Lonchura striata: one gene and its partner. The protein of the gene in region 2 purifies or fractionates together with the protein of the main gene of each other region. This does not show direct contact. Links are inferred from orthologs where the notes say so. Each region holds a gene or a part of one and is shown on either strand. Other genes may lie near its edges.

Region 1 (7,520 bases), on a different chromosome or scaffold from region 2:
TTTAGAGGGACACGGATCTGACAAAGTAGCTGACTCACTCTGGCCTCAGGGAAGTTACTTCACTCTCTGGATCATCTTCTCCAATTGAGTATGAGAACAATAATATGAAATTATCTGGCATACCTCCCAATGCAGCTATAAAAAAATAATTATCTGGTATTTAGGACTGGCTGTAAAAGTGGAAAGGTGATGGTGGTGTTGGAGAACCTCTGTAGATGGGGAGTCAGGGCAGCTGGGAGACCTGCAAGAGGCTCAGGTGATTGTCACCATTTGTGTGACAGCCTCATGAGTTTATGGTTATAAACAGTGGGTGCCTCTCTAGCCACAAGCACAAAGTCTGGGCCATGGAAGCATCTCTTCCCATGTGACACTAGACATTTCCATGGGCTTTGGTTTCCACTAGTCTAGGCCCAGATAACTACAGTAAGCACAAAGCCATGTGGTGCCCACCTTACATCATGACCAGCAGCACGGGCTTTTTTCTCCCTGCCTGTCTTGCCAGGGCCAACACAAATACTTGTCTAAGGATATCCCCTGTGATCTGTATGTTGCCCACAGCCTCTGCAGGGGGCTGACTTAAAGGCAGAGCAGGTGTTTGGACCTTCTCATCTCAGGGAGTGAGCTTGCATCTAAGGGAAGGTGCCAGCATTGCCACCTCCCAGTATCAAAGAGATGACAACTCTGCAGCAGTCTTGTGGCTGTCACTATTGAACAGGGGGAAGCTGTCAAAAGAGTCCAAAGCCATTTTTTTATGTGTCTCTTTTGTCTGGTGTGAGGGGACTTGGCACAATCCCACTTTGCATCCCTGCAGGTCAGCCCTGTCCTCCCTGTGGGACTCAGGTTGCAATGGCTGCATTTAGACCTTGTATCAGGGCTTTAAGATGTTCATCCTCCAGCATTTTCTCAGTGAGCACAGACATAATCCCTGCACTGAGTGCAATGTCCTCTGCACCACAGATTGGAGATCTGCCATGAGATAAAGTGACTGCAGTTGCTTCCTATAGTTGGTATCTGGTGATCAAGTCTTGTCCAGAGCTACCTTTTTGTTTTCATGTGATGCTGCTCTATGCCATAGAAACTATCAGAGGATTGCAAAGGTGAAAGCATTAATAGATTACCAGAACAGTGTTTGTACTGCAGGCAGGGATTAGGGACAGGACAGGCAAAAGACTGGGTCTGTGCTCTTGCCAGTGGAAATGCATAGGTGGTCATGCACTAGCAGATTTCTAATGAACAAAATGCCAGCAGAAGCAGGGGGAATCTGCTTTAGACAAGATAAATCAAAGCATGACAAAACTTGGAGCATCAAAGCAAAATTTTGTGTATTTACTGCATTTTAGTTCCCTTTTTGTATGTTAGATCATTATAATTATAATTTGAGAAAGCTGCTCTGGGAGGCCAAAAGTGACAAAGGAAAGCATTGCACAGCCAGCTGAGAGAGGACAGCCACACACAGGAGGCTCTGGACAGTCAGTTTTCACTGAGGCACAGCCACTCTAGGCTTGTGCTACATCTTTCTGGGCACAGAGGCAAAGAAAGGTTGTTCCCAGCAATGAGGAGAGGCTGCAGGACTCTGAAGAGCTGAAATAAGCTGAACAAGTATCAGGGGAATAAGGGAACTCTCCACAAGCTTTTAATGTCACAGATGGCCAGGGGTGGGGTAGCTGTGTGTCCACAGAAGAGGTGAACACATTAAGCACTGTGGGGAATCCCAGATGCTCTCAGCTCATCTCAGGGATCTATAGGTGCCACAGCTGAGGTGATGTCCTCCCTGGGCCTCTCTGCAGGTGTTTTTGTACCGGTGCTCACTGAGAAATTAGAAGGGAAAAGGAGGGGCTCTTTTGGTCTAAGGACAAAAGCAAAGAGGTGGTGTAAGACACATAATGTTTGATTGTCTCTAATTGGATCAGGAAGATTAGTAAATAGAGATTAGGTGACACAAAAGGAAGAAAATCAAAGCAGGAGACATTCTCACTTCCTGGTTTAGAGGAACGAGTGCATGAAATAGGTTGAGGTTTCTGCATCAGCAAATGTCTAAAGACCTGTTACTGTAACCTCAGAGATCCAGTCAGCTATGTGAATGCCCCTCAAGGATAGAGAATGGATTTCTTCAGAGCAGTGTTAGTGATTGGGAATGATAGGCATCTGATTTTCAAACTGATCCATTTTTATGGGTTTTCATTGGAGTTTGACATTTTAGTTTCCTTCACAAGCTGCTAAAGCTCAGTGTGCTGGGCTGCTTGCTGCAGCACACTCCAGTGTTCCCAGGGCACGTGGTTATTTTGATGGGGAGAGGACAGGGGGATATATCAAGAGCCATAGCTCAATACTTCCATTTGCTACTACCATCCTCCTACTTCCACTCTGCCACTATGAATGTAGCTCCCATCCTGGATAGCAGGGACCTGTCTCCTGCCACTGGTGCTCTGTATGTTCTTGGAAGCAAGCAGGATCTTGCCTCATCAGCTTAAGAAAATGCTGTGTTCCCACCGAGGACTGGAAAGCATCTTGTCAACAGCAAGTGGCCCAGGGAACTTTTTTGTGAAATTCTGCATAACAAAGGCCTGTAACAGGTGGTGCCAGGATTGCTCCGCAGTACAAGAGGAAATGTCACTCACAGTTCTTGTTTGCTTTACATATTGTGTAAAAAAAAAATTAAAAGGAAGCTTTTAGGAAAAGAGAGCTGAGGAACATCCACTAATTTGCCAAATAAAGTCTGCCCATGACAGCCCAGCACATGGGTCTCCTGTTAAAGGCAATGGACTGGGATAAGCCAGTGCTCTGCTCCACCAGCTGCTGATGTGCTGAAGGCTTTTCCTCTTTTGTCCAATCTGCATTTTAACTAATACCACGTTTTTCTGCAGCTCTTTGCATCTAATGGGGCACCCTAAAAGCACTAATAAACTGTTGCTAAACTTTTCTTTCTCTGGAGTCTGGAGCATCTCTCTTATGAGAAGACACTGTGGCAGCTGGGCCTGTGTAGTCTGAAGATTGAGAGGGTGTCTGTAATCCATACAAATATCTCAAAGGCAGGTGCCAAAAGGATGGTGCCAGACTCTTTTTGGTGGTGCCCAGTGACAGGACGAGGAGCAAAGGCCATAAACCAAAACACAAGAAGTTCCACCTCAACATGAGGAAGAATTTCTTTAGGCTGAGGGTGGCAGAGCCATGGAACAGCTGCTCAGGGAGGGCATGGAGTCTCGGGAGACATTCAGATCTCACCTGGACGTGTTCCTGTGTCACCTGCTCTGGGTGACCCTGCCTTGGCAGGGGGCTGGGCGGGATGATCTCCAGAGGTGTCTTCCAACCCCAACAAGTCTGTCATTGTGTGATTTTCTTTTTAATATTGCTAGAATATTGCCTCGGTCCTTTATTATCTTTCACTAGATTTAAAAATACTTTTTTCCCCTTGGTGTCTTTCCTGAGTTCATAAGCTAACTAAACCCACAGCAGTCACATGACTTTGATGAATAATAATATTCAAGTAATTGCTGAGTAACAAAATGAACTTGCTGCCAACACAGAGTAGAAATATGGATTTCACTTATACAACCAGGATAGTTATTATCCCATGGATTTAAGTCCAGAGACTTCAGAAGGCCCCATTTTACTTGCCTGCCTATTGATCTTGGTGCTGACAATTGCCTGGTTAATCAATCTAAATGTATATTCAACTGGCATCTTTTATCTTCTTTCCTGACAAGCACTGTTGCTACTACCCCACTTTAGATTACAGCTGCGAGTAAAAAATTACAAATATTAAACATATATAATCTAAAATGTAGTCTAAGTAATAGCTGAGGGTTTTTATCACATAGGAATGCAACTGCAGAGAACTCCGCGCTAGCTCTTCAATGCTATTTAGAAGACAGCGAAGAACAGATTTGTGCCTGTGTGTCCCCATCGTTTATTTCCGAAAGCACAAAGGCTTCTTTGGCCCTCCCGCCTCCCCTCAGCGCAGGGTGCGGTGTTCGCTGCCCTGCTGCGCTGGCAGCCGGCGGGGCAGGCAGGTCCCAGCGCAGCGCTGCCGTGCGTGCGGCCCGGCGGTACCAGCACATTCCGCCTGCACGGACCGGACCGGCGGTACCGCCGCATTCCCCCTGCACGGACCGGACCGGCGGTACCGCCGCATTCCCCCTGCACGGACCGGCCCGGCGGTACCAGCACATTCCGCCTGCACGGACCGGACCGGCGGTACCAGCACATTCACCCTGCACGGACCGGACCGCCGGTACCGCCGCATTCACCCTGCACGGACCCGGCCCGGCGGTACCAGCACATTCACCCTGCACGGACCGGCCCGGCGGCACCAGCACATTCCCCCTGCACGGACCGGCCCGGCGGTACCGCCGCACTCCCCCCGCCCAGAGCCGGCCCGGCGGTACCGCCGCACTCCCCCCGCCCAGAGCCGGCCCGGCGGTACCGCCGCACTCCCCCCGCCCAGAGCCGGCCCGGCGCCGGCCATGCGGGCGGGCCCGGTGACGTGGGGGCGGCGCGGTGACGCCGCGGCCCCGTGAGCGGAACTCGTCGGGGAGGCGGAAGCGAGCGCGGGAGGCGGCGGGGCCCATTAAAGCCGACGAGGCGGGCGGGGGGCGCAGCGATCGGGGTCGGGCCGCGGCGGCAGCACCAGGTGAGCCCGGCGGCCGCGCGCGCTGCCCGCGGGGCTGCGGGGGCGGCCTCGCCCCGGGCCGGGGCAGCCGCTGGCGGCCCCTCCCCGGCACCGGGGGGCCGCGGCGGAGGCGGCGCTGTCTCGGTGCTCCCGGCCGGCTTTGCACCGGGGCCCGGCTGGTTTGCCCGCCCCGAGGCGGGCTCAGGCGGCCGCGCCGCCTGGAGCCGGGCCCGGCGCTGCCCCGGGACGATACGGGGGGCTCTCCCCGGGACGGGGCTCCTCCCCGAGGGCCGCTCCCAGGACGCGCGTTCCGCCCGGCCTTTGTGGAGCCCGCTGTGCCGGGAGGCTTGGGGAGGCCCGAGCGGTGCCTCCCGGGGAGGGAGCGCTTTGTCTGCGGCGTGCGGAGCCGCTCCGGCTCCTCGGGAGGGTTCGGGGCGGCCGGCGGCCGAAGGAGGGCCGGGGCCGCGGGGGGACGGTGAAACGCTGCTCGGGGGGTCGGCGGGGAGCGCTTTTAGCATGACCCGGCACCCCGGGAGCAATTAAACTGGCCAAAGAGGTGGCCGAGGACACTGGCAGTTATTGCGAAAGTAGCTGTCGGTGTGTGTAAAGCCTGAGTCAGTTCTAAGAACTATTAGAGTGGACGTTAGAAGTGCTTTTGTCTGTAAGTGTGTAATAAGGTAAATTAAGTGATAGATACATTATTAGTTTCCCTATATATAGAGAGAGACTAATAAACATGGAAATGCCTGGTGGTTGTACTTAAGACAGTTGCACTCCCTGTAAATAGAGGGCTTATTTTAGTTGTAAAAACGGCTGTCTTAATCTGAAGTAGGATAGGTAACCTCAGCATCAAAATGTGTGTCTCACCTAGTACTCTCCGCCTTTTGTTCTCAAAGCTGGAAATTTCAGCATTATCTCCTGGAAAGCTACAAATGTTTGCTGATAAGCAGAGCTGTTGTGGTCTGTGTGTATGAGATTTTTATATGTAAACTGAGAACACATGACAGAATGAAGTCCCCCCCCCACAGCTGTAAGCAAGCTGTTCTTTGTCTGACACTTGCCAGCATGGAACCTTAAAGCTTTCAGTACTTGTCACTGGCTGGCCAGCGTTGGCCTATGCCGAACAGTCTGTATCCATGTGGGTATTGGGTTTGGGGAAGTGGAAGATTCTCTTTTTAGGGGAATGGTACATAAGTAGCTGTGCCACAGTGTTTTGGCTGGCTGTGACTTGAAGGCTGTGGTGGTACCAATGGCGTGTGAATAGCAGCTGCAGCCTGGCTCTGGTTCCAGTAGAACCAGGCTGCTGGAGTCAGTGTACCCTGCTCTCTCAGGAGCTGAATTTGAGGTTAAAGTGGGTGGAGTAATTTGAATATTCCTTGTTAAATAATCAAGGCTTCGTTGCTGTACTTACTCGGGAAGAACAAGTATACTTTTCTTTCCCCCTCTCCCTTGTGACTCCCAACAGCTGACTGAACACATGACTTGCCCTCCATGCACTAATGAGTGGACCCACCATGCCTGCCTGGCCTGAGTCCTCAGAATTAAAGCAGCTCTAGTACTGTTAACTTTACAGCATTGCCTTATTTGTTTATTTGGGGTGTATGTTTGTGTGTTTTGGATTTTTTTCTTTATTCTTTGTGCTGTTATGTTACTACCCTACGTCTGGTGTAGAAAAGCTGTTATGGGGCTAATCTGACCCCTCAATAATGAAGACTTCTGAAATCTCATAGCAGTTTCTTGCTCTCCCAGCATGTAGTGTGAAGTATAAGATGGGAGTAGCTGTGTTAAATGTTCTTCTTTCCTGTGGTGTCATGCAGTGGTCCCTGTCCTCAAACTCAAATACCCTCATAATAGCTCAGCACAGAATCACAGACTATTCCAAGTTGGAAGGGACACATAGGGATCATAGAAGTTCAATTCCTGGCCCTGTACAGGACACCCCCACATGTGCCTAAGAGTGTTCAAGTGCTCTTGAGCTCTGGCAGGCTTGGGGCCATGGCCATTTCCCTGGGGAGCCTGTTCCAGTGCCCAGCCACCCTTTCGGTGAAGAACTTTTTCCCTACAGCCAGCCTAAACCTGCTTTGACAAAGCTTCATGTTCTTTTCTTAATCCTGTCACTGGTCACCAGAGTGAAGAGGTGGGAAACAGGACACCCCGAGTTGTACCTTCAGGGTGACAAGTTAAGAATTTAAATAACTGTGTGGCAGAGTTTTCACTACAGGCATCCTGGCCCTCCTGTCAAAGCCAGGGAATCCAACTTTCTGAGCAGCACAGACATGTTAGAAGATTGATAGATCCTCAACTGAAAGTGTAAAATATACAAGCTCTGCTCTGAAGTGACCTGGGAGAGATATGACTTTGCTTAGTTTGCTAACCAAAATGAAGGCTTGTGAGCAGGAGGGTTACCAGATTTATTTTCTGCAGCACTTTCTTAAAGCTCATGTTTTAGGATACTTGTGTTGGATGGTTGTGAGAAGTACCTGTTGGAGCAAATCTCTGGCAAAGCTTGTCCTTGAGGAAACATAACAATTGCCATCAAACCATCTGTGCAAAACTATAAATAGTTCTGTCTCTAACATATATGGGATTTTGGTCTGACTTCTGTGTGAAAATGAGACTGTTTTATGCAGAACTTAACATTTGGCTGTAAACAACATTGGCTATGCTTGGTTAGGGTGTGTTTTTTAATGCTGCATTGTGAGAGAAGGTTTGCAGGTACCTGGCTTGAAAATAAGGGCTATGCAATAGGGCACTTAGATGTATTCTCTGAAACTGTTGGATGATGTGGGCTCACAAGTACTTATTGTTGCATGTCCTTGCCTTCAGAATGCAGCGATTTCGTTAGTGACTGAAGTAAACTGACCCTTTGTGAAACAAACACAGGACTCTCACCTTGCACGTGTCCATGTTT
Region 2 (6,839 bases):
TGTTCCACTTCCTCCATCTATGTTGCTGTCTAAAGCTGGAACCACTAGAACCTGTAGGACTGAATGGGAACTAGTCAGAAGGGATGTGAGACAGATCAAAATAGAGACATTTTCAGTAAGAAATGCAGAGAAGCAATGGAGACCTGAGAAAAGGAAGAGAGGAATAATGATAAAAGAAATGCTTGGATAAGAAAATTGAATGAGAATGTGGAGGACAGGAAGAAAAATGGGAAAATATAAATAAATGGAAATGCAAAACAAAGAATAATGAGAGAAAAGATTGTTCTTGCTAAGCAGTTTAAAACAGAGTATAGTGTATTTATTAATATTTAGAATGGGAGGAGGCATCTGGAGTGAAGCTGGTGGTTTAGATTTGAAATATGGAAAAGGAACTAAGACTACATCTGTTGTGTTTGATAACTTAATTCTTCGGCCCAGTCCCAGGATCTGGTCCCTTGTCATTCACATCTGAATATGTCCATCCACTTGTGTGCTCTCACTCGGAGTTAATTGACTGCTTCCCACCAGGAAGAAGTCAGGGCAGGAATCTGGAAGCTGCTGTGTGACCAGCACAGATAAGATTATGCCACCATCATCACCAGTCTGTCCTCCAAATGAACAGAGCCAGCTCACCATCCACCACAGAGATTCTCACGACGAGCACACAGCAGAGTCCCCCCAGTACTGCCATTTAAATGACACTCAGAAGGGCTGCTACATGGCCTCAGTTTGCTTCAAGCATTTTGACTTAAATGAACATGAAGAACAGAGACTGCAATTTAAGGTGCCACCATATGGTGCCACCCAGGAGACCTGGGGAAGCGTGTCACAGCACGGATCCTCCCACGGAGGAAATGAGGCTGAAGCAATGTGGCCACGAGCTGCTCCTTGGCAGCCACCCTGCCTACCTGCTGACTTGGAGCTATGGTGGCACAGGAGGAAGAAAAATCATGCAGCAGACTTCTGGCTCCTGGAATGAGGTGGGGATTGCTTTCACCTGGATGCAGACACTGCCAGGGGAGTCCTGGATGCTCCCCTCTGCTTTCAACCCAGTGGCAAGCATTTGTAACAGCAGCTGCAACCCGAAAAATAACATTTTAGGATCACACCCAGAACAATAGAACACGATGAGTTTTGGCCAACTGCCATGCAACACACCCTTGATGTAATACTAAAGTCACACATGGCAAGGTACTCCATTATGAAATCTTACATAATCATCTTTCATGAAATTATTTTCTAGTGTCGTTTCTGCTTATGATTTTATTTTGTTTTCCTCTTCATTGTTTACCTCATTCATGAATTAGCTTTCTGCATTAGTTTTCTGTAGAACAATTTAATAATTTCAGGATGTTTTAAGAGCTTTTAATAAAGAAAATATATGAATATTAATGAAATACCATGAAAAGTAAAAAAATCGGCAGAGGTGATATAAATCAGTACTTTACTTTATATTTCCAGGGTGGACAAGAATGGATAATTTCCCATCTAAATAACTATTTCCAATGACTATTAGAAGTGTTGATAACTTCTGTCTATAATTGTGTAACTATAAAAATGGCTCTTTTTTTTTTCTTTCATTAGGAGAAAGAACAGGTAATGACACTGAACTTGAAATTATCTTGACTGGATTCTTTTGTAATAATAACAATAATAATTTTCCTTTGAGCAGGAGCAATTATCCAGTGATCTCTTGAAACCTTTATTTCACACTGTTGCTTGGTGAAGTTGGCATGTAAATTTACCAGAAGCTTCCTGTCTTACATACAGATGCCAGTACACTTCATTCTTTTGATGAACCTCATTTGGAGAATGTGAAAACTATTAAAAGAAGAAGGTGAATCCTTGTTTTGCCATGCACTCCAGGAAATTCTGCAGCTGAAGCATCCTCCCATGAGCAAATCATCCCAGCCCAGGTGCCACTTGGCCTTGCTATAAACCTGAGGTGGGAAGGAGGACAGACCTATGTGTGCCTCATGAGCCCCACAGAGGCAACTGGTGGGTGCATCAACACCACTGATATGCATGAATCGACCAGCAATCTCTCAAGGAACGTCCAGGCTGACTGATAAAAAAAATGCAGGTTGCATGCTTCCAGACACTATTTAGAACTGTCCTGGGACCTCTGGGGGTGTTGCAGCACCTTGGAGAAGCTGGGGGAAATCACAGTCCTTCAGGATAATGTCTTTAGCAGCAGAGCCACTTCCTGCCTGCAGGACAACATCTCCAGCAAATCTGCTGGAGGCTGTCAAGTACTTGCTCTGCAAGCAGTGAAGTGCTACAGACTAAAGGCACCCTAGGAAAAATGCCTTTTGAGACAACTGATCAATATTTTCACTTTGCCCTTTGTTTTCCTGGAGGTCAGCTGCTGTTGCTGATGTTATTGCCTCATGAAGGAAGCCTAAATCTGCTTAGTAGTGTAGAACTGACTTGCAAAATTCAAATTTCCAACACATTACATGCCAGTAAAGATTCCGCAAGAGGTTCCTGTAGAGACTTGCCTTTACCAATGTGTTAGCAAGAATTGCTTTATCCCTTGGGACACTGGAAACTGCACTATCCAGGTACTCCGGGATGGATTTCATGATTGCAAATGTGATATTATTTTCAGGCTTTTTTCTTAGATGTGAAAATCAGTAGTATTATTTTGCTTCTTTTACACATCCCGGCCTACCTAAAGGCAAAGTGCATGTCAAGGAAGCTGCAGGGCAGCAGCACAAAGACAGGATGCTGAGCTCTGCCAGTGCCCTGCACTGTCACCAGCACTAGAAGCTGAAGAAAGTTTAGCTAATTTTCAGTCCTCCAGCAAGCTGATACCAAGCCTGTGTTTGTTTTTCTGAGCAAGAACTAACCAAATATATGAAAAGTTAGGCTTCTTCACAGCATCTTTATGAGATGAGAGATGGCTACCTCCTTCCTACTCTGTGTTACAGACAAAGTGAGGGAAAAAATCACATTAGCCACAAGTGTCTTTATTAATGGAACGGGGGGAAGCCAAGGAAGGAGGTGAACAGTACAGTGGGGATCCATATGAGGCTGTATTTTGGAAACAGATAGGACTTTCAGTCCTCTCTGATGGAGGTGAGGTAGTTTGAGAGGCACATTTTCCCTGGAAATTATGCTTTAAAAATTAATCACTTGTGCTGCACTTGAGCTTTGTGCAACCCGCAGGAATCAAGGACTCAGCAGACACAAGCACTTGTGCTGCCAACAGGTGAATGAGATTTACTTTCCGGGTGTTTTTTTTGTTTTGTTTTGTTTTGTTTTTTTGTTTGTTTTCCGCCCCCGGCGTGCCCCGCAGCCGGCAGGGAACGGAGGCTGGCTGGCTGCAGAGATCGGCAGCTGTCATACGGTGGGAGGACCCTGCAACACCGAGTTAAATCTTAACTTTGCTGTGCATTTCCCAAGGGACGGATGCCTGTGACGTTAAAGGGAAACCGTTTCAACACTTTATACTTTTAAAAGCCAGGGAATGCGCTCACACGGAGCCACAGAATCAATGAGGCTGGAAAAGATCTCTGATAAGCTCGAGTCCAGCCCATGACCCGACACCACCACGTCAGCTGGACCACGGCACTGAGTGCCATGTCCACTCTTCCCTTAAACACCTCCGGGGACGGTGACTCCACCGGCCCCCTGGGCAGCCCATTTCAGTGCCAAATCACGCTTTCTGAGAAGAAATTCCTCCGAAGATCCCAAACCCCTTGACGCCGGGGCTGCGTGAGGGACCCCGATCTCCCCCACACTAATGACCTTTCATGACCTTTAATGACATTTCGCCTCTGGCCGGCAGGGGGCGTTGGCCGGGCGGCCGCCGCAGCGCAGGCCCGCGCATGCGCAGAGCGCGGGGGCGCAGGCCGGGCGGCGGTCGCGGCCGAGGCGGCGGCAGGAGAGCGGCGGACGGGGCAGCGCTGCCCACCCTCCCCTCCATGCGCAAGATGCTGCTGGCCGCGCTCTCCCGATTGCTGCAGGGCCCGGCGGCCGCCGGGAGGACGGTGAGCGCGGCCGCTGAGTGCGGCCGGTGCGGCCCGGCCGGGAGCGGAGCGGTGCGAGGGGGCACGGCTCCGGGAGGGACGGAGGGAGCGGCCCGGGAGCGGGGGCCCGGCGGCGGAAGGGAGCGGCTGAGGAAAAATTAATGGGGAAAAGAACCGCGTTGGTTTTTCTTTCCCTCGCTCTGACGAGCCCAAGTGACAGTAAAATGGTGGTCGCGTCAGGAGCTCGGTTCTTAAGCCGATAATGGCGCAGGGCTTGGATCGATACTGGCCGTGCTTACTTAGACTGCGCGGTCAGCTCCCGCAGGGCGATCCGCTCGGCCCGCTTGCAGTTCAGCTTCTGACTGCACTGCTTGACCTCCCTTCGCTCAGCCAGCGGCCCCTTTCTACCTCTGCATCAATTGTGTTTCAAAGTTCGTTATTTTTTTATTAGTGTCACTTCTTGTATTTTATGTTTGTTGTGTGAAAAATTGTGCTTTTACCGCTTCATTCAGCTTATTCCACTGTAATGACTGTGGCCACGAGGAAAAATTAACCCTGCTGAAAAAAAAACTTGTTGGTAAGGCCAGAGTTAAAAGGTACTTTTTTGGTAACTGGAAATCAGGAGCCGTTTTGCCATGGAGAGCAGATGTGTTGCTGCAGCCCCCTTCCGAGGCAGCTCTCTCACCCAGGCATTCACTGTATGAGGATGACTGCATCCATCAGAAAAACACAGGGGAGAAAATTTACTGGAAGCTGTCACTATCTCTCTTTGGGCTGCATATCTAGGAGTATTTCCTACTTCACAATAGAATTTCTAGATTAAATTTTGCAAATATGGGTGCCTAAAATTTGTCCGTTACTGCAAGTACTTGGCCTGCTCTGGAGATACTGTGTTCTCCTGGAATGCCAAAGTAAATCTGGTTCAGATATTTCAATAAAGATTTTTTGGATCCTACTGCTTACCAAATATGTAAATATTTGTCTTGTATTGTTCCTATGGCTCTGCAGTGAAGGCATAAATTAGCAAATAAATAGAGGCAGACTTAATCTATAAAGCAGTATCTCATATATGCTTTGAGCATTTTCCAGAGTGTACAGATGGATTTCCATGTATAGAAACTAGCACTTGCAGTGTTCTATTCTAGTTGGATAATAATTTGCTGACTTCTCCTCCCCTCATTATTTGATACAGCTACTTACTCTTCTTTTTTTTTTTTTTCCCTTCCAAATGCTGCTAACCTAGGGAGCCGTTAGCGAGGTAAGGCCTCAGTCAGTCTTGTCAAGGTTTACTTTTGATAGATGTACTGCCTACATATCAGGGCTTTGGTTCAGACTCCTCAGTGTGCTTTTAACCAGGAGTTTAACCAGGTGGCCTAAAGAGATCCCTCCTGACCGTGGCCATTCTGTGATACTGTTAATCCATACTGTGGATTTACTTCCAGCTCTAGAAGTAAAATAGCTTTTCTTCACTGATAATACTGATACATTGTGGTAAATAGTGTAGAAACTAGGTTTAAATTAAAACTTCTAAATATTTAATCTGATAACAGGGCAGGGTGAATGGGGGCAGTGTTACTGATAAATCTGATCGATATGCAACAGAGGAGGTAACCAGGATGGGTTGAGAATTTTCTCCCAAGCTTGACACGTGTCAGTCAGAGCTTTTTTGGAGATGGTGACCTGAACATTCTCAAAATTTTGGTAGAATCTACCTTCAGCTGGAATCTACCTCCTGGCTGAAGGAGCTACTGAAATTTTTGTGTAACTTAATTAGCAGTATAGTCTTGCCACTAAAGATGCAGTGTTCCTTATGCTGTGGCCACAGTGCATGCATGGACATGGGCCATCCTGTCTGATGCTGCAGTGAAACTTGCTAAAGTCATCTCAAATCACCACCATTCATTAGTCAACAGCCCGTGTTCCTTCTTTCAGAGGGACCAGTAATGTATTTTTAGACATCCTTCCTATCTCTCCTCTACCATGCCACCCTTTCTGTTGTTCTGTGTTTCTTGTATCCTCAGGAACCTTCTGTGTTTCCACGTTATTAGAGTAGCCATAGTACTGGCCATGCTGTCATAGAAATGATGTTCTCTCTCTCTCCATTTTTATGGCTTTGAATTCCCCCAATTTCTCTTCCTATTGAAAAGAAAAAGTGAGAGTAGTTTACATTTCAGATATCTGCTGTATTTCTTTTGTTTGGTTAGTTTTGGGTGTTTTTTTTTTTTTTGTTCTATCTAGTCAAAATTCCATTTAGCACAGAGTCAGCAGTCAAAGTCTGTGTTGGTTGTCTCTCCTTATATTGTCAGCCTGGCATGTGAAGGGATAAAAAATTATTTTTGTGGTTTTGATGATCTTCATTGTCAAAAGTTTTGATACTTACTAGGTTTATTTTAGATAATCAAGGGTATTACCAGTTTAAATTCTCTTTTTCTAATCTTAATTTTAAATAATGGGTTTTAAAGGATTTTGATATATAGACTAAAAGTTCCCTAGTCTTCTGGGATATGCCACTGCTGAGTCTAATTTATAAGTTATTTCACTTTGGGAGTACTCTTAGAAATTACTTGAAAAGTCACATACTTTTACTTGATAATGACATTTAAACATTGCTCATGCTTTGGTTTTGCCTTTTTTTTAAGGCCTCTCGAGTGGTGGTAGCATCACGTAACTATGGAGACTTCGCAAGTGAAGCTACATTTGAGATTAAGGTAAAGAACACTTAATACTGGCATTTTTTGTAAGCATTTGTTAGAGATCTTAACCTGATGGACTGGTCCCCGTGTCTCTTTCAGTTAGAAAATACGGTTTGAATTTCCAGAACCAAACCCCTCACTATCTGACCTGATTACTAAGTGCAGCTGGAAG

Evidence for each region. Proteins that work in one complex are often made in the same cells at the same time.
Region 1: the proteins of PDHA1 (region 2) and RAB7A fractionate together in Homo sapiens (co-fractionation; 3 studies listed by BioGRID, with this or other methods). This does not show direct contact. The link is inferred for Lonchura striata from reciprocal best matches to the Homo sapiens genes PDHA1 and RAB7A.

Annotation. Positions count from the first base shown.
Region 1 is NC_134614.1:12,813,308-12,820,827, reverse strand, and holds the start of RAB7A (ras-related protein Rab-7a), read left to right. Parts: upstream 1-4,517; 5' UTR 4,518-4,630; intron 4,631-7,520.
Region 2 is NC_134604.1:101,794,934-101,801,772, forward strand, and holds the start of PDHA1 (pyruvate dehydrogenase E1 component subunit alpha, somatic form, mitochondrial), read left to right. Parts: upstream 1-3,832; 5' UTR 3,833-3,833; coding exon 3,834-3,995; intron 3,996-5,217; coding exon 5,218-5,232; intron 5,233-6,613; coding exon 6,614-6,682; intron 6,683-6,839. UniProt on the Homo sapiens protein: The pyruvate dehydrogenase complex catalyzes the overall conversion of pyruvate to acetyl-CoA and CO(2), and thereby links the glycolytic pathway to the tricarboxylic cycle.